2 linked regions of the Arabidopsis thaliana genome follow. The protein of the gene in region 2 interacts with the protein of the main gene of each other region in a pairwise test. Each region holds a gene or a part of one and is shown on either strand. Other genes may lie near its edges. The genes, in order: AT5G38550 and GSTF6.

Region 1 (14,018 bases), on a different chromosome or scaffold from region 2:
ACATCTGTCAACACGAGTTTTCTGTTAATAAACAACTCAATACTGGGTAAACAAACAAGTAAGAATGTGTTGGTTCATGCATTGATGATTACCACGGAGACAATCTATACATTTGATCAGAACTAAAAGATTATTCTTTTCCTTTTTTATTTGTCGCACGTATCAAAAATAGCTGCTTCTCTAGTTACATATTTGGTCTCATATCCTAGACTGAAAGTATAACCACAGCATTGTACCGACAACACAGAGAAACACATAGTCAGAAGCTAACTACATTAAAAGGGGATGATCAGATTGATCAAGACATTAAGCAAAATCAAGCAGTCAAAACTCAGCGAGAGTGTCATGCTTCTTAAGCTTCTGAAACTAATCATACTACTCACAACACTCAATATATACTGTAAAGAGAAGACACAGAAACCACACTGGCAGAACCAAATGCAGATTGATCAAGACATTAACAATACACATTATCCAAAACTTAGTGAGTGTTCCATGCTCATTAAGTTACTAAAACTAACCATACTACTCAGTACACAGTTCTTTCAACAGTTCTCGAACCGTTAATGAACAAACCAACTAGGGTTTCTAACCGCACCCTAAATGCAAAAGGATCTTAGATTATCCAACTACAAAATGCCTTTACAGAACCTGAGATGTATTCTTCTATGTTATATTACCTGAGCCTTGAGGAGATGAATAAGCGGAAGGAGGCATTGTGTATCCAACAAAGGTTCCAGGGTCCTTTCGCTTTCGTTTCCGAGTGAACCACACACCCATCACAAAAAGGCTAAGAAAAACCAATCCCACAATCACTCCGATAGCTACAATACCTCCAGTACCAACTTCGCTTTTACCTGGTGAACTAGACGGCAAAGTGTTGTTTCCATTGTTTGAAGCTGGTCCAGTTGGTTTAGCAATTGGTTTCTCTCTGGGAACAACAGGTAATGGAGTTGGAGGAGGAGCTAACGTAGAAGGATCAGTAGGATTTGAAGACGGAGGAGAAGCAGAGGTAGCTGGAGGAGGAGGAGGAGATGTGGTTGTTGTTGGAGTTGGAGTTGACGGAGAAGGTTTAGGCGGTGAAGGTGTTTCTCCCGGTGGTGAAGGTGTTTCTCCCGGCGGTGAAGGAGAAGGTTTAGGAGGAGGATTTGTTGTTGTTGGTGCGGGAGGTGATGGAGAAGCATCAGGAGGCGGTGGAGGTGAGACAGTTTGCGGAGGAGCTGGTGGTGTTGTCGCCGGAGTTGAGGGAGGAGGGGAAGCAATCACCACAGGAGGTGGAGGGGAAGAAGCAACGGTGGGAGGAGGTGAAGTGATGACAGGAGGTGACGGTGGTGGAGAAGAAGACGGTGGAGGTGACGAAACAACCGGTGGTGGTGGTGATGATGATACAACCGGCGGCGGAGATTGCGGCGGAGAAGGAGGTGGTGTAACCGGAGGTGGAGCAGATGGAGTGGTGGGCTGAGTCTGTAACGGAGGAGGTGCAGTTGTTGAAGAATTTGACGACGGTGGTGATAAAATCGGTAAAGGAGGAACCAAACTCATTTCTATATCGAATACGAATCTGAAGCAGCAAACTTTCTTCTAACACAGTCGTTATCGATCCATTTAAACTCCAAAAATTGAAGCTTTGTGAACAAACAAACCCTAATTCCACAAATCGGATCAAAATCAACCTAAATTACGCAACCTGAAGTCAAACCTACTAAAATCAACCTAAATTCCCAAAATCTCCAATCACTAGCCCTAGAATTCCAAACCCAGATGGAAAAACTCGAGCTTTAAGCTCATATGCAGCTACACACGAAACTCAGAGCAGACCCAGATTAATAAACACTAGAAAGTTCCAAACTTTGAAGCTTTTTTCACTCGGAAGATTCGAAATTGGAGCAAGAATCGAGAAGGTAAGTGAGATTGAGAAATGGAGAAGGGAATGTGGTGAAAGGGAAGAGCGTGAGTCTTGTCTGAAGAAACGTGGAGGCAACTCTGTCTCTCTGGTCAGAGATATTTGACAGAGCGATTTACGCTTATGAGAGAGTCAGACATGTGCGGAAGAAAAAGAAGAACTTTTTCGAGTGTTGTTTCTTTTCTTATCATAGCATTGTTTCGTCTTTTTATTCATTGACTTGAGTTTCGTTTTCACAAATTATTCTCACATCATAACCACATAAAATGCCACGCGGTTTTTTTTTTTTTGTACGTTGTAAAATTCAAGAAAACTTTATTGCATAAAGGAGTTTTACTATTTTCACGAGGAATGATTTAAAAATGGAAAGTTAAAAAGTGGGTATGGGTGGAAAAGGAATAATAAAAGAGAGAAAAAAGTGTTTATGGTAATTTAGTAAATTAACAAGGAAAAATGTCTATGGTGTACATGTGCACTCTAATCATGGTTGATGTTTGAAAGTTTGTGCGCATGTTTGTTCCCTAAATTTGCTCTTTTTAATTATTGGATATTGGAGTGTTTTACTTGACTAATTACCGACGTGTACACGGTTATTAAGGTTTTAAAGTAGTGTGGGAGAACAACACTCTTGAGTTAAAAAGAAGATTAAAATGTTCAAGATTAGGCTGCAAGCAAATTAAATGCACATGCGTAGTTCGCATACGAGTAATTTAGTGGAATCCTGTAATTAGTGATAGTGTCTTATGACCATAGATACTCGGTTTAGCTTAGGTTCCAATTGGTTTTCTTTTTTTGGTCATATTTTTTTTCTTTTCCTATTGATGTTAAGTAATGTGAATGTTCGAGTTTGTATCTTGTACGATCTTATCGCTATTGAATATCTTGTGAAGTAGAGTTTTCACTCATTCGTAGGTCACTGAGATTAACTCACAAAAAAATTGGTGTAGCAGAGATGTTGATATGTTTTGGAAAGAATCTAAGTGCCTAGATCCTTGCTAAATAGGATTTTATCTCAAAGCATATATTCTATGTTTTATGGATGAATTAAACTTGCATATATACTTGACACGAGGTGATTGGCTCATATCATGGCTATTAAGGTTTTGAAGTAGTGTGGGAGGACACACTGAGTTTCAAAGATGATTAAAGTGTTCAAGATTAGACTTCAAGCAAATGCACATGCTTAGTTTGGATATAGAATATGGGCTTACGTATCTATAGATGGGCTTAAGTTGGGTTTCATGTGACGGTCTCATGTATGGATATATATATATGAGGCATGTTTGCCCTAATGTGAATCAGAGAGTTTTCCCTATCGTTTTCCTCGTTTATAATTGCATTTTTCATCGTTACTATTCGTTAAATATTTTAATTTTTTTAATTAAAATATCTTTGCAGTTATGTCTTCTTACAAAGTGTCTTTTCTCCATATTTATTTGTATTTTCCTTATCACAATTATTTCTTTCTAAAAATTAAATATTTTACAAATATTTGTGTCAATTTAATTGTTTATATCTTCTGAACTCTATATACTTTGTTTACCAAATATTCAATCTTCTGACAATTGTTTTTTTAAAGATGATTGATGGTCCAAGATTAAACCCGACCCGGACAGTGAACCCGACTACCTTCTCGATTATTGGGTCATCGGGTTAACCAGGTTGGACCATAAGTCAATTAATTAAAATTTATTTAATAAATTTAATATTAATAAGATTTTAGAGTTCTTATAAATTAAAAAATAAAAATAATCATGTTTATAAAATATAAAATCAGATTATGTTTAATAAAATATAAAATCATTTATACCAAAAAATAATAATAAAAAAAATAAATAATATATATATATATAATCAAACAATAATAATAAAGTGATTAAATTTTTTAAATCCAACTAAACGTCTAATACCATAACAAATATAGTAGTAGATCACCAATGACGGAAATAAACTAGTAAAACATCGTGAATTTACACAACTAATATCGGGTGTCTCACTCACCATTCGTTTCATTTTTAAGGCGGCATTGTAAAGTCTTCGTCAAAATGTAAACCATAAAATGAGTTTACGAACTGAAAAGATTTCTAAAAATGATTGAATAAAGTCTAAAATCTCATATTATATTCCAAAATAAAGAGAATATTTTAAAACCCACACCCGACCGGTTCACCGGATCATAGGTTAATAGTGAGTTTTTGTGGGTTTTTTTGATTTTGAACTTGTCGGGTTTTAGCACTAAACCTAAATCAGAAAAATGTTTGGGTCACGGTTCAACCGGTCGGACCGAGTGTGAAAACACTGACCACTGGGTTTTTCTATTTAAAAATAAGTTGAGAGTTTTAAAATGGATAAGTCTAAACTTGAGGGTTTTTTCATTAAAATTTATTTTTCTAAAATAACAACAACAATTTATAATATTCATCATTTTGAGTTTGATTTATTGTTTGAGAAATATTGTATAAACAAATTTAAAATATTTTTCTTCATGAAATCGCGAGAAAAGATATGTTTGAGTTTTATTAATAATAAAAATAATCAGATCATGTTTAACAAAATATAAAGTCTAACAATAATAAGAAAGTGATTAAAATTTATAAATCTAACTAAAACACGGTAAAAAAATACTAAGATAGTAGGATAGTGAATACGAAGAACTTAAAAAAGTTTTGAAATAATTCAATAATGAACAGTGAATACACTAAAACTCTATCTTTTTGTCCAAAATCAAATATATATATTTTTAAACGAATACCCGACCAGTTTACCAGATCACAAGTTAGTGCCAAATTTTTGTGGATTTTTGCGCTTTTTAAATTGTCGGATATTAACAGTAAACTCAAACCCGATAAATATCTGTAACACTGGTTAACCAGTAGGATTGGACGTGCAGATTTTTTTTTTCTTTTTTTGAATGAATGACCAATGCTGAAGCTTTACGGTTTGGTTGCAAACCAGAGTTGCAGTCCATCTCTCATGGAGGTTGAACCCATTTGAAGATATATATAGAAGCCGATTCCGAACTGTCCGGTCAATCACTTGAATTATTACCGATGCAGAGATGGGAAGCTCACCATGTCTTCTTCGATTTCTTTCCGTCCAAATTGAATGGACTGTCGCTTTAAATATACGTAGCGTAAAATGAATTGATGCGTCTTCGAGAACTGAGAAGTGGAGACAATACTTAGCAAAGCAGAGTAATCCAAAGTAAAATCTTGCATGAGAATTCGCTTGGCAAGATGTTCCCAGATTTGAGCCGAGAATGTGCAGCTGAAAAACAAATGATCCCTTGTCTCAAATGGAACTTGACAAAACACACATGTTGGATTGAGATTCGATGACCAAGAGCACATTTGATCACATGTCACGTTGAAGTTGGTTTTATGTTTCTAAAAATAATGCCAAACAATAAATGCTCGAAACTGAAGTCCACCTACAAGTTTTACGAGTAGGTTTGTCATATCATAAAAAACAAAATCTACGCTGTCGATGAGATGCAATCATGCAAGGTCGTTTTAAAATAATCGTTTGTTTGTGGAAGACGTACTTTAGGTAGTCTTTGAATAATTATTTCACAACTAGTTTATATTTTCACAAATTTAATATTTAATCTTGCAACCAGCAGCCTCATATATAACAATATAAATATACATTTTAGAAAAATGGCCAAAACTTGTATATATGAAAAAAGCCAAGTCCATCGCTAAACTTACTGATCAGCATAGCAGTCTGTTCATCTTCAGAGGTCAGCTCTTTTCTCTTTCCCTCATAAGCATGCTTACTTCTTATTCGCACCAATGTTTTAACCTTAAATAAGATCTTATCGAAATCTATTATTTATGTGAACGTAATGAGCATAGTTTTAGATATCCTCTTACAGTAGTTCCGTTTCTGCAATTGGTGATCTTAAATATTGTGTTGGTTCTTCGCTTGACAATATGTTTTGTTTTTTTAATATTCCCAATTTAATTAAGGAACACATGTGGATATTGATGCAGATTATTGTACTAGGAAACACAAGAACCACTTCATATCCAGCTGAATATTGATAACATCAGTTCAAGATGATCCAAAAGTTGGGAGCGAAAGGAATCAAGTCAGATGAACGTAATCAGCGGGAGTGGGATGATGGATCTGAACATGATGATGTAACAAAGATATACGTACGAGGTGGTCGTGAAGGAATAAGATCCATTTATTTCAACTATGTGAAGAATGGAAAACCCAAAGATGGATCAATCCATGGTTACTTTGACTCTGGTTTCACACAAACGGTATGTTCTGGAACATATACGGTATTCTAAAAATCGGCGGCTACCTATGCGTCTACAAGGCCAAATCACATAAACATTTTGATATTATATTGGCAATATCCGTCAAAAGAAAAGTCAATGTTATTTTGATGTAGATCTGATAAGGCTGCCGATTAATTTAGTTTTTTTTTTTTTAATTTTCTATTTGCTTTTTAATTCATTTTTAAAAGGGAAAATTATCCTTTAACGGTAAAATGTAAGTAGTAAAAGTTTACTCTAAGTTCTTTTAAAGTCTATAATTAGCAATTCTCGTTCATCGTCTAGAAAATCAACATATTCCTTAACTCATTTTATATTGAGGTGAAGTTGATATATAATGCTGACTTTGTGGTATTTGTATTTTCACTAATTATGCAGTTTGAGATTAACCATCTACGAGGTGAATATCTTGAATCTGTTGACGCTTACTACGACAAAAAGTCCTACGGTATGCAAGCAATTCAATTCAAAACTAACTTCAGGACTTCTGAACTGATGGGGTATAGTTATGAGTGTACTATGTTTACGCTAGCCGTCCAAGGAAAGAAGATCATTGGATTTCATGGATCTAATTATGTACATATATTATCTCTTGGAGCTTACTTCATTTCCATTGCTCCTACGAGATTGGAAGTGAAAGGTAGTAAGGGAAGCAAGAAGTGGGACGATGGATTTGACCATGAAAATGTATCAAAGATCGAGGTACTAGGTGGTTTTGAAGGCATACTGTACATCAAAGTTGACTATATCAAGAATGGAAAACTAGAAACTGGATTAGTCCATGGTCACTCTGGTGGTGATGGTTTTTTACAGAAGGTATGTAGCTATTAATTATAACTATAGGTTCATTTATTTGAGTATATTATTAAATCTTGTAGTAAACGTTTAATCAAATTTTTAGATGGAGATTAACCAGTCAAAGAACGAATATCTAGTATATGTTGAAGGTTACTACGATGATGCTTCTGAAACCATTCAAGGGCTTCATTTCCAAACTAACCTCAACAATCCTGTTATGATGGGGTATAAAAAGGGCAGGAAGTTTTTACTTGCATCCAATGGAAATAAGATCATTGGGTTTCATGGATATGCCGACAAAAGCCTAAACTCTCTTGGAGCATATTTCAGTACGACCACTCCTAATAAACTGGAATGCCAAGGTGATCGTAAAGGACTGCCTTGGGATGATGGTTGTAATTATGACGGCGTAAAAAAGGTGTATGTCGATAGTATAAGTGATATAGATAGTGTCAGGTTTGAGTACGATAATGGCGGAAAAGTGGAAAAGACTCCGTACCGGCGTGATGTTACAAATGAGAAGGAGGTCATGATTCTTTAAATCTAGTAACGTAAAATTTCATTGATACTATATATTGGTTCTTTAGGCGCTTATACGAAGTTGTTTTCTGATTGCAGTTTGTGCTTGACTATCCAAATGAGTTTATCACGTCTGTGGAGGGGACCTTAGCAACTCCGACTAATTTTGACATTACGTGGATTCTCTCACTGACATTCAAAACATCAAAAGGGAGAACCTCTCCAACATTTGGATCATCGTCTCCTGGTAGAAAATTTGTGCTGGAGAAGAATGGTAGCGCTCTTGTTGGGTTCCATGGATATATTGGTCCTGGTTATAATATTAAAGCTCTTGGAGCATATTATCGCCCGATTCCTCCTACTCCTGATGTGAAAAGACTAGAAGCACAAGGTGGTGATGGAGGAGCTTCTTGGGATGATGGTGGTACTTTCAACAGTGTTAGAAAGATCTACATTGGACTAGGCAAAAACGTTGTAGGCTTTGTCAAGTTTTTGTACTACAAAAACGCTCGTGTTGTCATCGGAGATGATCATGGCAACAAGACCCTTTCATCTGATCTCCTAGAGGTCACTGATTCAATTTCCATAATTTAAAGTTCTAGATTTCTATCGTACTTGGTCAACTTATTATCATTCTCGATGTATTTTTTTTTTCTTGTTTTGCAGTTCTTGTTGGATCCGTTTGAACATATCATATCAGTGGAGGGTACTTATGATGATACATCTGGAGGTATAACCATGCTTAGGTTCGAGACCAACTTACAAAAATCTCCATACTTTGGATTTGGTACAACATCAAACTTCTTGCTTCACAAGGATAATCACCAGATCGTTGGATTCCATGGAAAATCCAGTAACATGCTTCATCAACTTGGGGTCCACGTTATACCCAACGGTTTTAAATTTATTTAATAACGTTCTCTTACTTTTTCTTTTAATAAGTCATGTTTTAATGACATCACATCTTCAACTATCACAATATAATTTTCTTCTCCTAACATTTAAGCTCTGATACTTCTCAGCAAGTGTTGATTTTCTTACCCAAAATGCAAAAACACATTGTCCCAAATTCGTCTTACGGTTTGGTTCCATAATTTACATTTATGAGCTAAATCTATATACACACATACATGTAGAAATTTTGGCAATGCGTGTTATACATAGAGCTGTCAATTGGGCAGGACGTCCATGGGCTTGCCCAGTCCAAATGCATATGGGCGGCCTATATTCCGGACTAAAAAAAAATGGTCTAATTGGGCATATTACCAGTTTTGTCCATGGACAATATGGGCTTGACCGTATGAACAATGGGCTGCCCATGGGCATGAATTGAGTCAATAGACATGTCTTCATTTTAATCATATTTTTATAATTTTAATTACAATTACAACTAAATAATTTTCAAATTATATATTTTACATTATAAGTTTCTATTTTTATGAAAATTTTAAATTTTAATAAATTATTTCTTATTAAATTATTTACGGTTTTGAAGGAAAAATAGTATTCCACAATTTTTTGGAATACGCAAATTTTCGATTACGGTTTTGACGGGAAAAATACAATTCTCCGATTTTATAATTTTGACGGAAAAACGCAATTCTCTAATTTTACGGTTTTCACGGAAAAACGCAATTCTCTAATTTTACGGTTTTGGCGGGAAAACGCAATTCCATAATTTTTCCGCCAAAATCGTGATTTTATTGTATTGGTAAGAAAAACACAATTTTACCGTTTTGTCGGAAAAATGCAAGTCTCCGATTTTTACAATTTTTGCGGAAAAATACAATTTTTGAATTTTTCTTTAAAATCATGATTTTTGATTTATCAATAATAACAATAATAAAATGGGCTGATCATTATGGACATGGTCTTTATTGGGCATGGACATTTTCAGACCATTGTCCATTATGGACCGTCCAACTTGGCCCATAAAAAAAACTGTCTGTACGGACACGCCCAATGATCTTTGGACGGACCATTTGACAGCTCTATTTATACAGTAAAAAGTAATTTTCGTACGTTTCTACTTAGAAAATTTAGTGTTACTGTTTTAATATAATTCCAAACATTGTTTTTTTCCATATTTGGAAGCATCTTCTACTTTTTAGACCACATCAACCAACTGCATTTCAGAATACTGATAACAAGTGGTTAGATTGATAGAAAAAAACAAAAATAAAAAAAAACAATTGCAAGATTGCTCATTTAATTTTTCAATCTTGGCGATGGCAATTTCTCACATAATAATAAACAAATAAAGTAATAAACTATAAAGAGTTGGAAAAAAAAAGCAATGTATAATCCATTTCTATTTTATTAATCCGGCAGGCGTAAATTATTGTCTCGCCCCATGACATAACCGATCAACAAAGACTAGGAGGTAATGGTCCATGAGATATACTTTATAAAATATGAGTATATGACTCTGATTTGGTCTAAAATTGCATGATAAAAAATAATTATATTTTTGTTGGCAAAAATCAAAATTGTTATTGCGTATATTTAAAAAAGCTATAGAAGTTTTAATATACTTTTTAGTCTTATTTTTTTTAAACTTTTATTGTGTAATATATTGTTAATGTTTCTAATTAAAATTATTAAGAAAAATTCTCGCAATAAAGCGTAAAAAACAAAAAAAATCGCAATGTTTTTTTTATATATATACAAGATAGAATATATAACTTTTTTGATTTTAGTAAAAAAAATTTGTAAAATAAAAAGTTAAATGTTTTTTAATATAGAAACGACCCCTGTTTTAATTGGAGTCTAGGTCTAAAAAATCTATTCTATTATGTCGATAGAAAAATGTTCGGGTTGAAATATTACTTTTGTTTGTTAAGTTTTACGAGTAGGTTTGTCATCATAAAAAACAAAGTCTACGCTGTCGATGAGATGCAATCATGCAAGGTCGTCTTAAATAATCGTTTGTTTGTGGAAGACGTACTTTTGGTCGTCTTTGAATAATTATTTAACAATTAGTTTATATTTTCACAAATTTAATATTTAATCTTGCAACCAGCAGCCTCATATATAATAATATCAATATCCATTTTTGAAAAATGACCAAAACTTGTATATATGAAAAACACAAGTCCATCGCTAAACTTACGGAAGTCTGTTCATCTTCAGAGGTCAGCCCTTTTCTCTCTCTCCCATAAGCATGCTTACTCTTTATTCGCACTAATGTTTTAACTTTAACCTTAAGTGAGATCTTATCAAATCTATCACTGTAAACGTAATGAGCTATATATTTAAAGTTGTAGAAATTTAAATATCCCTTTATGTTAACTAATCCATGGTAGTATAATCAATTGGTTTTTCTTCCTTCTAGTTTAGATATTGTGTTGGTTCTTCCCAACTTAAGGAACACATGCATGTGGTACTGATGCAGATTACTGAATAGGAAAAACAATACACCTTCATACCCAGCTGAAGATTGATATTAGTTCAAGATGATCATAAAGTTGGGAGCGAAAGGAATCAAGTTAGATGAACGTCGTCTGTGGGATGATGGTTCTGACCATGATGACGTAACAAAGATATACGTAAAAGGGGGTCCCCAAGGCATAGGATCCTTTTATTTCAACTATGTGAAGAGTGGAAATCCAAAAGATGGATCAATCCATGGTTTCTTTAACTATGGTTTCACACAAACGGTATGTCTACGCGGCCAAAATCACATAGAAATTTTAATATTCGCAAATACCCAAAAGAAAAGTTTTAGTTTTTGCTATTTTTATTTGCTTTTAATTTACTTTTAAAATAGGGTAAACTATTCTTAAAGGTAAAAAAATGTATGGTTAACATTTATACGAATTTTATATATAATAGAAAATTCAAGGGCTAGATCCTTTCCAGCTCCGGATTGAACAATACTAATTTAGACTCATTTAGTGCATGATTGGTTGGGCTTTAAGTCTGACTTACAACCTTATTTTTTTTTAAAGCGTTGATTACAAACCAATCGTGTTATACCTTTATTTTTAAACTTACAGTCCAAATTTTTTTTATTTTTTTTTTAAGGCTGTAGTAGAGTAATTTCTCAAAGCCCTATTTTCTTGGCTGTAGAAATTTTAATTCATTAGATAAATACAAAAAATTAAATTATCAACATAAATATATAACAAAATTAATCTATGGAATATGTAAAATTTAGATTTATTTTATTAAGAATTCATAGGATTTTTTTTATTTTTATATCAGCATAATATATATATTTAAATTAGTAATACAAGGGATTTTATTTACTATAAAAATAAACTCTTATTACAATTATTATATTTATTAATCCATTTTTTATAAATATTTAAAGTTCAAAACTTACAGCAATAATTTTACAGCAATAACAGTTACAGCTACAACCAACACAGCTACAGCAAAATCTCTACAGCAAAAATTCTAGAGTTACAGCCCAACCAATCACCCATTTAAGTCCATATTAGAAATTTACGTTCATCTCTTAGAAGATCAATATAAGTAAAACCTCTATAAATTAATAATGTCGGGACTCGGAACCAAAATATTAATAAATATTAATTTATAGAGATATTTACTTTAAGTTTTTTTTTAAAATTTAAGAAAAATGTTAATTGAGAGAATTGGATACACATAAAATTAATAATTTTGATATCTTATATTTGTGTAGTATTGTATTTGAAAATTTAATATTTCAAAAAACTCCTTTGAGAATGAATCCCAAAGACTATAGTTGAATTCATTTAGATAATTTATATATGTATAAATTTATCAACTATCGTATTTTTAAAGTCTATAAAACTATTAAAATGAAACTGATGCATATTAAGCATTTCGAAACTAATAAAAAAATTATGACTACTTTTTATTACGATTATTATAAACATAACGTAACAATTGTTTGATACACAAACCCTAACAAAAATTCAATGTTTAACATACCATAAACCATATATTATATATTATTTTATATATATATATATATATATATATATATATGATTATTAATTTATGTGTTATTAGGACCATATTTTTATATAAGATTTTTGAAAAGTATTATTATTTTATCGAGTTTTGTTAATATTCACAGTGGTACAACATGATTTGTTAATTTATTGTGTATATTAATTTATAGAGTATTGATTAATAGAGGTTTACTCTATTCCCTAACTTATTTAATTTGAGGTGATGTTGATATATAATGCTGACTCTGTGGTATTTTTATTCTCACTATTTTTGCAGTTTGAGATAAACCATCTACAAGATGAACATCTTGAATCTGTTGACGCTTACTACAACAAAAAGTCTTATGGTTTGCAAGCAATTCAATTCAAAACCAATTTCAGGACCTCTGAACTGATGGGGTATAGTTATGAGTGTACCATGTTTACGCTAGCCGTCAAAGGAAAGAAGATCATTGGGTTTCATGGATCTGATAATGTACATATATACTCTCTTGGAGCTTACTTCACTTCCATTACTCCTACGAGATTGGAAGTGAAAGGTGGTATGGGAGGCAAGAAGTGGGAGGATGGATTCGACCATGACAATGTATCAAAGATCCAAGTGCTAGGTGGTTTTGAAGGCATACTGTACATCAAAGTTGACTATATCAAGAATGGAAAACTAGAAACTGGATTAATCCATGGTGACTCTGGTGGTGATGGTTTTTTACAGAAGGTACGTAGCTATTAATTATAACTATAGGTTCATTTATTTGAGTATATATATTATTAAATCTTGTAGTAAACGCTTTATCAAATTTTCAGATGGAGATTAACCAGTCAAAGAACGAATATCTAGTATATGTTGAAGGTTACTACGATGATGCTTCTGAAACCATTCAAGGGCTTCATTTCCAAACTAACCTCAACAATCCTGTTATGATGGGGTATAAAAAGGGCAGGAAGTTTTTACTTGCATCCAATGGAAATAAGATCATTGGGTTTCATGGATATGCCGACAAAAGTCTAAACTCTCTTGGAGCATATTTCAGTAGGGCCACTCCTAACAAATTGGAATGCCAAGGTGATTGTAGAGGAATGTCTTGGGATGATGGTTGTAATTATGACGGAGTTAGAAAGGTGTTCGTCGATGGTATAGGTAACGAAATATATACTGTCAGGTTTGAGTACGATAATGGCGGAAAAGTGGAAAAGACACCGTATCGACGTGATGTTAAAAATGAGAAGGAGGTCATGATTCTTTAAACTTTATTACGTAAAAATTCATCGACAATGAATATTTAAATATGGGTTCTTGAGGCGCTTATACAAAACATTTTGTGATTGCAGTTTGTGCTTGATTATCCAAATGAATTTATCACGTCTGTGGAGGGGACCTTAGCAGCTCCGAAAAGTGTTAACATCACGTGGATTACGTCATTGACATTCAAAACATCAAAAAAGAGAAGCTCTCCAACATTTGGATCAGCTAGTAGTAGAAAATTTGTGCTGGAGAAGAATGGTAGTCCTCTTGTTGGGTTCCATGGATATAATAGTGTTGGGAATACTCTTAATTCTCTTGGAGCA
Region 2 (12,226 bases):
CACTCTCACCGGCCTTCGTATTGTTTAGAACCACGGATGAGTCGTCTCATAAAAACATGACGACATTAATAGAGTACATAGCAAACCAATCTAAGTAAATCGAGATCTTGGATATCATAAAAAGATAATTGGTATGTAAGACACATAAAAATTAATAGAAATATTTTCTTTTGACAATGCAAAAACTGTGTTCACATACACAAATATCAATTTCATGGACTTCTGAACACAAACAAACAATACAGACCTTTTCTTCTCCCATGAGTTCTCTCTACTCAATTCTAAGGTTTTACGAAGATACAATATGTAAGAATTAAGAAAGCTTCACAGTTTCATCTTTCTAACTTGCTGAGAACGTCATCCATTGGCGGTAACTCCTTCGATATCTCAGCCCAATCCGGCATCCCCTGAAAAAACAGAGTTTTTATTACTTACCACAAAACCTCCTCAAAAACCAATAAGTAGATATCAAACACGAGAAAGCAAGAGAGGAAAAGGTTTCTAGATGAAACTTACTCTACCCGATCTGCGGACTCGACCATCTAACCGCAGTATGATGTACACATCATCGCCCGGGTTAACTCCTTCAGATATCTGTTGATCTCTTATCCACCTGAAACAAACAAAACCAGAGACATCTTTAAGACTCAACAACAAAGTTGCCATCTTTCTTCTATCAAACTTTGATCAGCAACAAATGGCAATGAAAGTTTCGACCTTTCCCATTCACCAGGCGAAACAGTCTCGGCCTTGAACCTGATTTCACCTTTCAGCTTCGATTGGGCTACAACCGATTGAGCCCGTGTATCAAAATCTTCCTATCAAGTTAAGAGAACATCACTGTTTTGCAAAATGAGAATATTTTGTTTGTTTTTTTCAAAGACAGAATCTTTTCGTTACCCCAATTGAAGGAAGAGATGTAGCTGCCTTTGAAGAAGCTCCAAAACCTTTTTTCTCGATTTCCGGTGTTTTGCGTTCACCCCATACCACAGGAACTAAGAGAACACCTCGTCTTAGGAGCTCGGTTCTGAACCTATCTGCTTTTTGCATCGCAAGTGTAACAGTCTCTTTTTTCCCAGCTAGAATAACCTAACGACAGTGTCAATCACTACTCAGAAACTCAAAGGCTAATTCACACTCCAGGCAGTAAAAAGTAGAAAAAGAAACTCACAGGTCGAACTGTATCCCTTAGCTGCACAAGTTCAACAACGCGGTTGGTTGACAGGCGTAGAGGCAACCGGGAAAGAGTTTCGTCTCGAGTTATTTGAACCATTTGTTCTTCCTCTTTCTTGTTTTCCCAAAGGAACAATGAAACCATAACAACAATACCTGCACATTGCTGTTCCGAAAGCTTACTCACATAACAGAGAAAAAAAGGAATTTAAGATTCAAGTGGTGTCTATGACTCACCTCCAATGTTAATTGCAGCATTTCCCGTAGTTTCCAGAAGATTTGGAGCACCATCACCGCCTCTAATTGCCTGAACCAGTCTTGGTACGGTAAAGAACATTGAGATACCCGCTGCTGCTGCAAATGCAAAATAAAAGAATTTTCTAACGCCACGAAACGGTGCTCGTACTTCACTGATAAGTTTCAGATCTCTCCGGAAATTATCGCCAATATCTTCCCCGCCTAACCTAGCCTGAAACAATTGGAAGAAATTTTCACCAATGAGAAAGTTTTCCTTGGGATATGAAAAAGATATACAAAAGGAGAGTGCAAGACCTCTTCTTGCAGCTCCTTAAACTCGGGTAATGCGCGAAAGGATGCTAAATCAGGATCGTTAAGAATCGTGGCAAACTTCAGATTATAATCTCTCAACGCAATTCGCAAGCAATCCACAGCTTTTTTTCCTTCGCCCCTACCTCAAATCGATAAACAATAGGATGAAATGAAAGAAAACATAATCTCATCAGGATCTTTCAAATCAGTAGATATAAGACAGTTTCATTAGTACATGGTTCGAGGTTCTTACCGGTAAGCATGACAACATGCTTTGTTATAGTAAGCAGCTTGTGACTCAATAGGATTTGGAGCCAAACTCAGTGCAGTTTCAAACTGAACAAGAGCATCTTTCACCTGAAAGAATCCAACATGACAAATCAACTAAATCTGTTCCAAGCAAAGACTCTTTTGCTAGCTCCAAGTGTCAACATTATAACTAGTACAAGCGTATGCAGAGAATTGCTAATTTTGTTTCCAAGTTTCAAACATTAAGATCAAGAAACTAGCAACGATCAGACAAAAAGTATCCCTTTTAAAATTACTAGCGACTGGAAAGTAACTAAATTTTAGGGCTTACCCATTATACATAATCATACAAGCGTCGCAATAGAAGACAGGAGCAGCCAAAAAGAGTAAGACATAGAAAACCCAAAACCGACTGAAACATATTCACCTACGACCACAAAACCATTCGAATCGAACTCTAGTACTTACCCGTCCTCTCTTAAAGAGATCAAGACCAGTATTGACGCACAACTCTGCCGTGAGATCATCCGTCGGTGAATTTGGAGACGGAGGCGACGACGACGGAGAAGAAGAAGAGGAAGCGTAAACAAACAGATGGGAATCCCAATTCCGGCGAGAATTGAAAAGGGTCGCGTCTCCTGGTGGCAGCCATGGCCTTCGTTGCTTAACTCTCGAGTAAAGGTTCGAGATGCGGCGGGGGAAATGGCGGTTTAGCGACGGAGCTGTAGCCACAGCCATTCAATTTTCTTCTACGCTTACGGAAAAAAAACAAAACTTTTATCCGCTTTTTATTTCCTCTGTTTTATTTCGGAAATAATATTTAACTTCCAACTTCTTTGAATATTATCTAGAAACTTATATTTGGTACGAATTAGACCCAAAGAAAAAAACATTGTTGACTTTGTCACACAATGACACAAGGTTTGGAATCGATTAGGAAAACGAAGAAGATTAGTGATTTGATGAGTAGCATAACTAAGCTGGAGTTGGTGTTAAGATTAGTGATTGATGAGTAGCAGACCTAACTTGGAGTTAGTGTTGTGATATTTTAATAACTGAATGTGATTCTGTCTAACTATGAAGTTTAATATTCTAATTAAATTGCAAAGCATTAAAAGTCAACAGTCAATTTCTTCCTTACAATGGCAAAAATGAAGTCTCAAGTCAGCTTTCAAAAATTAGAATAATTAAGTCAACTTTCAAGAATGAGATCAACACTAATTTTCTTTTCTTTTTTTTGGTCATAAGAGATCAACACTACTTATTAGTAGCTAAACTTTAGGCTACCAAATATATTTTTATTATATATCAAGACTCATTATTATTGAAGATTACATTCAAACCAAAAAAAAAAAACAGAGGAGACACACACAAAAAAATCACAGAGTGTATGAGAATTTGGCAATTAGGTCATCGCCACTTTTATTGTTTATGAGAATTAGGGCAATGAGGTCATCGCCACTTTATTCAATCTTCTGATTAACAGTTTGTGAGTCACTTAAAGAACCTTCTTAGCAGAAGGCCTAGAAGTGATGTCAGCAACCCAAGCACTGACATGTGGACGCTCGTCAAAGAGTTTCTTAGTTGGTGTACCAAGCAAGTACTGAATCACAGGGATAGTGTGAAGATCGACCAAAGTGAATTTATCAGAAGCCAAATACTTGGACTCACCAAGCCTGTGTTCGTAAACATCGAGGACCTTGGCTAGCTTAGCCTCTTCTTCTTCAACAACGGTTTTGTCTGTGGTCATACCATACAAAGGCTTTAAGACTTGCTCCCAAACAAGCTTTGAACCAACTGGGTCAAACTCATGCGATTCAATTTCAATGCCCATGGCTATGCCCGCAATGTCCTTGGAGCCAAGGGAGACAAGTTGGTTTCCTTTGTCTGAGTAAAAATGAGCTATGTATTGAGTGATTGCTCTTGATTCTGCCAACAAAACATTAAAAAAGTTGAGTGTTTCTGCTTTCTTTAATTGCAATTGTCAAAAACAGAATTTGAGATTAGGTCTAAATTTAAGTGTTTTGCTGCTTACCGAAAAGCTTGAAGTCTCCATCTTCAAAGGCTGGAACTTTACCAAAAGGCTGCAAAACAACATTCAAGATTTTTCAGACTAAAGGTTCAGTATCTAAATGAAACAATATTTTGTTTTGACAAATATTACTCACGTTGCGGAAGATGAAAGGCTCTTTCTTGTGTTCACCATCTTTGAGCTCGATATGAACGAATTCAAAGTCGAGATTCTTCTCGTGAAGAGCGATGAGAACTCTTCTAGTGGCTGTGGAAGCTGGGTGACCGAAAACTTTGATTCCTGCCATTTGTTAAGACTTTGTTCTTAAAGCAAGGTGGAGATTTATTGAAGTAGAGAGATCTTTGTGGTTGATGAAAAGAAATACACAAATGGGAGAGTGTATTTATACAACTAAATTAGAGTAACTTAGTGAATAAACAAAAAACAAACGGCGCCACCAAGCTTGAATACTCTTTGTTATTTCATAGTCAAGCTGAGTAACGTATGATTCGTCGTTTCTATTGGTTCAAGATTTTCATATACTGTTCATATAACTTATAAAACAATATAATCGGAGAAAATATCAACCATGGCTGGATAAGACAACAAGAATAGTCTTTTAATGTATACTAGTCAAAGTTGACCGACGTTGTTGAAAACATATGGATCGTTGGATGTTCAAATTGGATCATTGAATCAAGGAGATGAGGCAATGTGAAGTTATTATTAGTCAAGAAGCTATTCTTTTTGAATCGTTCTTCGTAATAAATCTATCTAGAACCTTCTCTAGCTTCGCCTTGCTTGCATTCACAACCTTATAGTCCGTCTTTAGATTTAATGGATTATACCCATGTAAGTATTGATGCGAGTGGATCGAACTCATAAGTTTCAATATCCATTCACAATGTTTGTGTTCCCATTGTTTTGTAGCTTTCGTAATTCACAAGTTATGAGCCTTTTGATCTATGGACAGACGAGATGTATTCAGATATAGCTCGAGACTCTGAGCAAGACTAGACATATCAAAATTTTCCCGAAATCAAACTCAAAAATGTTTATCAGATCAATAGTTGCATGAGTAAGGTCAAGAGGCTAAAAACCCTAATAAGATATAACAAATATAAGCAACTGATCGTTACGTAATAATATACCCTCGTTATAACAAGTTTACTAGGTCGTCGATGACTAATCGCTAAATTAGTAAACAAAAATAGTTCAAAATAGGTCTACTTCAGTAAAGAGTTTAGAGATTAAAAGACGATCGTTCGAGCAGAAAAGACCAGTTAAATGGAAACCCTAGTTAAGACTTACATTCCGTGAATACAAGTAATCTACCTAGGAAATGAGAATCCTAATTCCGGCGAGAATTGAAAAGGGTCTCCGTCTCCTGGTAATAACCATTTCCGTCGTTTCTTCGCACTCGAGTAAACAGAGGTTTTGCGACAGCTATGCAATTTATTTATATGCTTTCCTAAGAAAACCCTAATTTTATCTTAAACACGCTTCCTTTTGTTCCTCTGTTTTATTTCGGAAACTAATTAACTTTCAACTTTTTTGATCTAGGAACCTTTTTTGGTGACAGTTACGCTCAAACAAATATGAATAACATTGTTGACTTTGAAGCTTGCCATCACCACAGAAGGTTTGGAATCGATTAGGGAAAGGAAGAAGATTAGTGATTGATGAGTAGCAGAGCGACCTAATTTGGAAGTCAACGTTCAAGACTTAGGAGAATGATAGTCAACTTTGAAGAATGAGATCAACATTAATTGGTAGTTAAACTTTAAGATAAGAAATATTTTATTATATCAAGACTCATTATCGAAGATTACATTCAAATCAAACACTCGGCAGCAGAAAAACAGAGTAAACACAAAAAGAAAAACAGAGTTTATGAGAATTGGGCAATTAGGTCATCGCCACTTTTATTACATCTTCTGATCGATAAATAGTTTGAGATTCACTTAAAGAACCTTCTGAGCAGAAGGCCTTGAAGTGATGTCAGCAACCCAAGCACTCACATGTGGACGCTCGTCGAAGAGTTTCTTAGTTGGAGTTCCAAGTAAGTATTGAATCACAGGGATAGTGTGAAGATCGACCAAAGTGAAGTGGTCAGAAGCCAAATACTTGGACTCACCAAGCCTGTGTTCGTAAACATCGAGGACTTTGGCTAGCTTAGCCTCTTCTTCTTCAACAACGGTTTTGTCTGTGGTCATACCATACAAAGGCTTTAAGACTTGCTCCCAAACAAGCTTTGAACCAACTGGGTCAAACTCATGCGACTCAATTTCAATGCCCATGGCTATGATCGCCATGTCCTTGCCAGTTGAGAGAAGGTTGTTTCCTTTGTCTGAGAATTCATGAGCTATGTATTGAGTAATTGCTCTTGATTCTGCCCACCAAAAAAAAAACATTTTTGAGTGTTTCTGCTTTCTATTATTGCAATGATCATAAAACCAAAAATTTGTAAACATGACTATAATGATATATATTTGTATTTACCGAAAATCTTGAAGTCTCCATCTTCAAAGGCTGGAACTTTACCAAAGGGCTGCAAAAACAATATTCAAGATTGTTAAGACCAAGATTCAGTATCTAGATGAAATATAATATTTTGTCTTGACAGATGTTTTATGTACTCACGTTGCGAAGGATGAAAGGCTCTTTCTTGTGTTCACCATCTTTGAGCTCGACATGAACGAATTCAAAGTCGACATTCTTCTCGTGAAGAGCGATGAGAACTCTTCTAGTGGCTGTGGAAGCTGGGTGACCGAAAACTTTGATTCCTGCCATTTGTTAATACTGTGTTTTTCTTGTTCTTAAAGTAAGGTGGAGATTTATTGAAGTAGAGAGATCTTTGTGATTGATGAAAAGAAATACACAAATGGGAGTGTGTATTTATACAACTAAAACAGAGTAACTTTAGTGAATAAACCAAAAACAAACGGCGCCACCAAGCTTGAATACTCTTTTTTATTTTGTTTTTTGGATAAAATTCTTGGAATGCTCTTTTGTTATAGGATTATTTCAAAGTCAAGCTGAGTAATGTATGATTCGTCGTTTCTATTGGTTCAAGACTTAAATATAACGTAAAAAATAGTTAAAATAAAATAAAAATAAGAGAAAATATCAGCCACCGCGTGACAACGACCACAAGAATAGTCCTTCATCTACTAGTCAAACTCTGACCGACGTTGTTGGGTCCACGTGGATCGTTAGATGCTCGAGTTAGATCGTTGGATGCTCGAGTTAGATCATTCGATAGAACGAGAGATAATAAGAAACAAAACAATATCAAAAGAAAAGAAAATTTGGTTTCACACTTTTGACAATCTGGTACAATTACAAATTTGGGGTCAATAAAGTATTTAATCATATTGAAGTAACTAACTAAATTTAGCATAATTATGGAGAAATACATTACTAAATCCTAACTATAATTTCGTATAGAAACATTCAAAGGAACAGAGTAATTTTCACATTTTCCACATCCACAAAAATGCTCATTATAAACAACTTTGACATTTAATCTTGTGACATGTATATTGAAGTATATATTATTCTTTGGAATTTTGAAATCATTATGGCAAAAAAAAGAGTGATTTTTGCAAAAGCTTTGCCTTTTATTCATAACATCAAACTTAAAGAAATCACCGAAAGTACATCACAAGATTATAAGATTAATTCTTCTTCTTATGGTACCAAGCCTTCACATCACATGCCCTCTTCCAAGCCGGTCTAGCTGTGATCTCAGCCACCCACCGGCGCACGCTTGGCCGGTTTACAAACATTCTCTTTGTATGTGTGTCCATAAGGTATTGTATATTAGGAAGGTGATAAAGATCAGCCATTGTGAAGCTGTTACTAGCCAAGAAGCTAGAATTTTTGAGTCGTTCTTCGTATATATCTAGAACCTTCTCTAGCTTCGCCTCGGTTTCATTCACAACCTTATAGTCCGTCTTTAGACCGTACATAGGCTTGATGGATTGTTCCCAGGTCAGTGTTGATGTGAGTGGATCAAACTCAAAAGATTCGATAGCCATCCACATTCTTTGTGTTCCCATTGTTTTGTAGCTTTTGTAATTCAGAAGTTGTGTGCCTCTTGATTTATGGACAGTCGCTATGTATTCAGATATAGCTCGAGATTCTGACGAAAACAAATTATATCAAAATTCATTAGATCATTAATTAGTTGAAAATGTAGTTTTAAACTCACCAGTCAACTTAAGACCCCCGTCTAGGAAAACTGGGACTTGACCAAATGGCTGCATCAATAAGAAGAGACCAATAAAATGGAAACCCTAGTTAAGACCTAACCATTAATCATGAAGCAGAGTTAGATATTTAGATGTGAAAAGTACATTGATAGCGAGAAAACTCGGCTTCTTCTGGTCACCGGCTATCAAGTTGACGGTGATGGGATCGTAAGAGAGACCTTTCTCATGAAGAACGGCGAGGACACGCCTTGTGTTGGTTGAGTAAGGGTACCCATAAATCTTGTACTCTGCAATTTTACATATTTCATCATGTAATACGATGAAGAAGGAGGAGAATTAAGAAACCCATCAAAACTTCTTTATTCCATCCCATTAATTAGTATATAAATGAGTATGATTACCATCTTTACGAGCTAATTCTTGACACCATTTAAAGCATTGGCGACTACTCTCGAACGTCTGGTTACAATGATGGTAGCAAGTTTCCGGTACATGGCTCGCGTTTATGCCCATCCCTACAACGCAATTATGAATATTCAAAACCATAGCACAAGAAGAAAAGCAAACAAAAAAAATTCAAGATAATTACATTTGAGTGGTTCATAAGAAATGGACAGCATAACCATGAGAGTAAACAAAACCAATAATATGGAGGAACCCATTTTTTCTACTCTCTCTACTCTCTATAGTACACTCATAGAGGATAGAGCATATAAAGATGTATTTATAATTAGATAAGGTGAATCCATAACCATTATTATTTACTTTATTTCCTTTTCAAAATTTGTTAATTAATAAGTTGGATTTTTTACATGAAATTGTAGATTTCTTTCCTTTTACAGTTTTTTGTTCTTATATGAACTTTTTGCACTAGCTTATACAATTTAGCCAATCTAATTAGGTAGGATATAGCGTTGAACCAAAAAATAAAATAAAAAAATTGAGGTATAGATTTAATAGCTTATCTAATTGAGGTATATAAAGTTTAACTGTTTTTCACTCAAGTAAATTTAACACTAAGACTAAATTATATTGTTTTTTGCAAATATTTTTATTATGTAAACTATTTTTTTTATATACAAAATATTTTCGTTTGCAAGGTTTTTAAGTAAATAAAATAATTTTTTTACCTTTTAAATTTTCGGATTTAAAATTTTCAAATATATTTTTATTGATTTAACTAATTTAGTACTAGGAATACCCAAATATTCAATGAAACTGGATTTTATTATTTTCAGTTTTATTATTATTATTTGAATTGAAAATAATTGAAATATTATCAAAACCAATCCAATATGTTCAGGCACCACATCCGAGGCTGTGTGAATATAGCTTGTTTTAAAATTCCCTCCTTCTATTTGGTTACTCCAGAAGATATTGGTAGTTTTGGAGTAATGCAACTTAACATAACAAGAATGCATGAGTGTAGTGATCTATAAATTCAAAATTGGCATCGAATTATTTATATCTGCTTTTCGCATTTTCATAATCGTAGAATCTTATCTGAATTTATCTAATTAGTTTAAATAATGCTTTTTTTGTTCTTTATTTATTTACATGAAACATATATTAACCAAACATAAAATAAGATTCGCAAGGCAACAAACAACACGCACAAGCTTACAAACAAAGACCCAAACTCAACATACACATACACACACATTCACACGTAAAGATTACTTCTGCTTTCAGTTAGTTCCTTGGCTTATTAAACCAAGATTTCTCTTGATCACATGCCATTTTCCAAGCCTCTCTACTCGTAATCTCATCCACCCACTTACGCACTTTAGATCTTTTTTCGAACAATTTCTTCGTTGGAGTTCCCAAAAGGTATTGTATGTTTGGTAGGTGATGAAGATCAACCAAAGTAAAGCTATTACAAGCCAAGAATCTAGATTCTTCGAGTCGTTTCTCGTAGATATTTAGAACTTTCTCTAGAATAGCCTCGTTCTCTTTGACGATTGTTTGGTCAGTCTCTAGACCGTAGATAGGCTTAATGACTTGTTCCCAAGTGAGTTTCGATGCGGGTGGATCAAACTGATGAGCTTCGATTTCCATCCACATTGTTAGAGTTGCCATTGTCTCGTGACTTCTAAGATTCAGAAGCTGTGTGCCTCTTGAGCTATGAACATATGCGATGTATTGTGTGATGGCTCGGGATTCTAGAGGGGGAAAAGTTGATTAGAGATATAAGTATAACAAATGTTTATCATGTTGTTGTTATTAGTGTGTAAGATTAAACTCACCATACAGCTTAACACTTCCATCCTCAAAAACAGGGACTTGACCAAATGGCTGCATCAATAACACATTGTTAAAACTCGAAATCCTTGGGTGACAAGTAACCAAGACAAGCCCTAGGTGAGTATCAAAACCTAACCATATATAACAAATTTTTGTATATGTAGATGATTCGGCACAAAGTCAATCTATAATTAGGTGTGTAATATCTCATCCTGAAATTACTAATCATTCGATTTTGCGATATCATTCCTTACGTTGAGAGAGAGGAAAGGTTCGGTTTTGTGTTCACCGGTTTGCAATTTGACGGTAATAGGCTCGTAAGAGAGTCTTTTCTCATGGAGAACAGCGAGGACACGCCTTGTGTTGGTGGAGAAAGGATCGCCATGAACCTTGTAACCTGCAACTTTGAATCATAGAACAAATTTCACTGAAATCAAAATTATCTTAATTTTTGTTTGTTTGTTATAAACCTATATATTAATTAATCTTACCGAGCTTTTTAACTTCTGCCTCACGTTTCCAGTTTGGAAATAACTTGAACACCATCTGTAAGCAGTCCATATATACGATATAGATACACTTGTTTAATTTCTGCATGTATCCTCCATAAACCCTATTATATATACCAACTTAGTTATATGCTTTTTCTTTGCAATACAAAAGCTGAGGAACATTTTGTTTTTCCTTGACATCCACGTAAAGAGTCCACCTTTCTTGTGTATTGAGAGATGAATTGTTCCAATGATACAATGTAAACTAGGGATCTACCGTTTTATTTCATTATTTATCCTTTCTGGTTCTTTTATTATCCTTTTTGTTCCATTATTTTAAGTGCTAATTAATAAACAAGACGAATACTATGATTATGCTTTACTTTGAGGTTTACCAAAGCACACGACAGGAATCAAACCAACAAACAGTTCATGTATAAATAACTAAAACGAGTTGAATCATTTGTGAGAACTGATTAACGCCTTTAATCAGTAGTAAACCCAAAGAAGAAAACACGATAAATCAAAAAACACTTTAAGCTCTGATCAGTATGATTGTTATCAATCAGAGAGCTTTAATTATCGTTTTTATACACACTGATAAAATCATTTGCAAGTTTTTTCCACATCTTGACATTTGTGTGAGTTATATTACAAACTTGAGAAATATGAAGACAAAATAATCACATCATTGGTTTTCTGCACTTCCAACTCCTTCCTGTTGAAAATTGAAAAGCTAAATATCACAAAAGAGTTTAGTGACATGGGATAAGAGTCTAAAGAGTGGAATCAAAACTGACCATGGCGCATATACTCGGATAAAGTTCCCTATTTCGATATCAACATCCGCACAAACTTTCGGACTAAAAATAATTGTTGTTTCTGTTTCTTTTGCCGCAAGAGCTTGTGTGTTCTTGAGTAATAGGGAGTCCTACAAAATCGAATGTGACTAAATCAATTGCTTAAGGGTCTAATTAAAGGAGCAGGTTTATCAGATGCGTCAAAGAGATGGAGAGATAAACCCCAGAGAGGTCAATGACAGAGCATTTGCAGACGACAAGCTTTCCCTCCAAGTGTCTTGACATGACTTTAACATCAACATAGCCCGATGAATCTGAGTTGGGAAATTGGAACGAGTAACAGAGGTATGAACTAGATTTTGTTTATATGGGAGTTACAAAAAGAGTTACCTGCTTCTCCGATTCCGCTTTGCAATTTCCTCATGATTTCCATTTCCGTCTCTTTTTCTTGTTTCATGATCTGTTGCAGCTTGCCATACAGGCTAGAGCCAC

Evidence for each region.
Region 1: the proteins of GSTF6 (region 2) and AT5G38550 interact in a two-hybrid assay, tested with the Arabidopsis thaliana proteins (one large-scale study listed by BioGRID).

What each region holds. Positions count from the first base shown.
Region 1 is NC_003076.8:15,427,368-15,441,385, reverse strand, and holds AT5G38550 (Mannose-binding lectin superfamily protein), read left to right. Parts: upstream 1-5,534; 5' UTR 5,535-5,645; intron 5,646-5,898; 5' UTR 5,899-5,964; coding exon 5,965-6,174; intron 6,175-6,570; coding exon 6,571-7,008; intron 7,009-7,093; coding exon 7,094-7,516; intron 7,517-7,608; coding exon 7,609-8,076; coding exon of another isoform or gene 8,077-8,103; exon of another isoform or gene 8,104-8,175; coding exon 8,176-8,421; 3' UTR 8,422-8,605; downstream 8,606-14,018. Other genes in the region: PERK8 (Protein kinase superfamily protein), read right to left, coding at 1-4, 681-1,542; AT5G38540 (Mannose-binding lectin superfamily protein), read left to right, coding at 10,965-11,168, 12,730-13,167, 13,257-13,682, 13,782-14,018.
Region 2 is NC_003070.9:655,417-667,642, forward strand, and holds GSTF6 (glutathione S-transferase 6), read right to left. Parts: upstream 7,060-12,226; 5' UTR 6,776-7,059; coding exon 6,626-6,775; intron 6,534-6,625; coding exon 6,485-6,533; intron 6,375-6,484; coding exon 5,947-6,374; 3' UTR 5,672-5,946; downstream 1-5,671. Other genes in the region: LPA1 (tetratricopeptide repeat (TPR)-containing protein), read right to left, coding at 333-407, 517-613, 718-818, 901-1,089, 1,172-1,329, 1,411-1,642, 1,726-1,861, 1,976-2,079 and 1 more; GSTF7 (glutathione S-transferase 7), read right to left, coding at 3,470-3,900, 4,007-4,055, 4,140-4,289; GSTF5 (glutathione S-transferase (class phi) 5), read right to left, coding at 7,663-8,129, 8,199-8,247, 8,344-8,486, 8,601-8,714, 8,789-8,861; GSTF4 (glutathione S-transferase F4), read right to left, coding at 9,892-10,361, 10,446-10,494, 10,698-10,840, 10,935-11,040; AT1G02960 (kinetochore protein), read right to left, coding at 11,586-11,652, 11,735-11,865, 11,957-12,048, 12,125-12,225. UniProt on the Arabidopsis thaliana protein: Involved in camalexin biosynthesis by probably catalyzing the conjugation of GSH with indole-3-acetonitrile (IAN).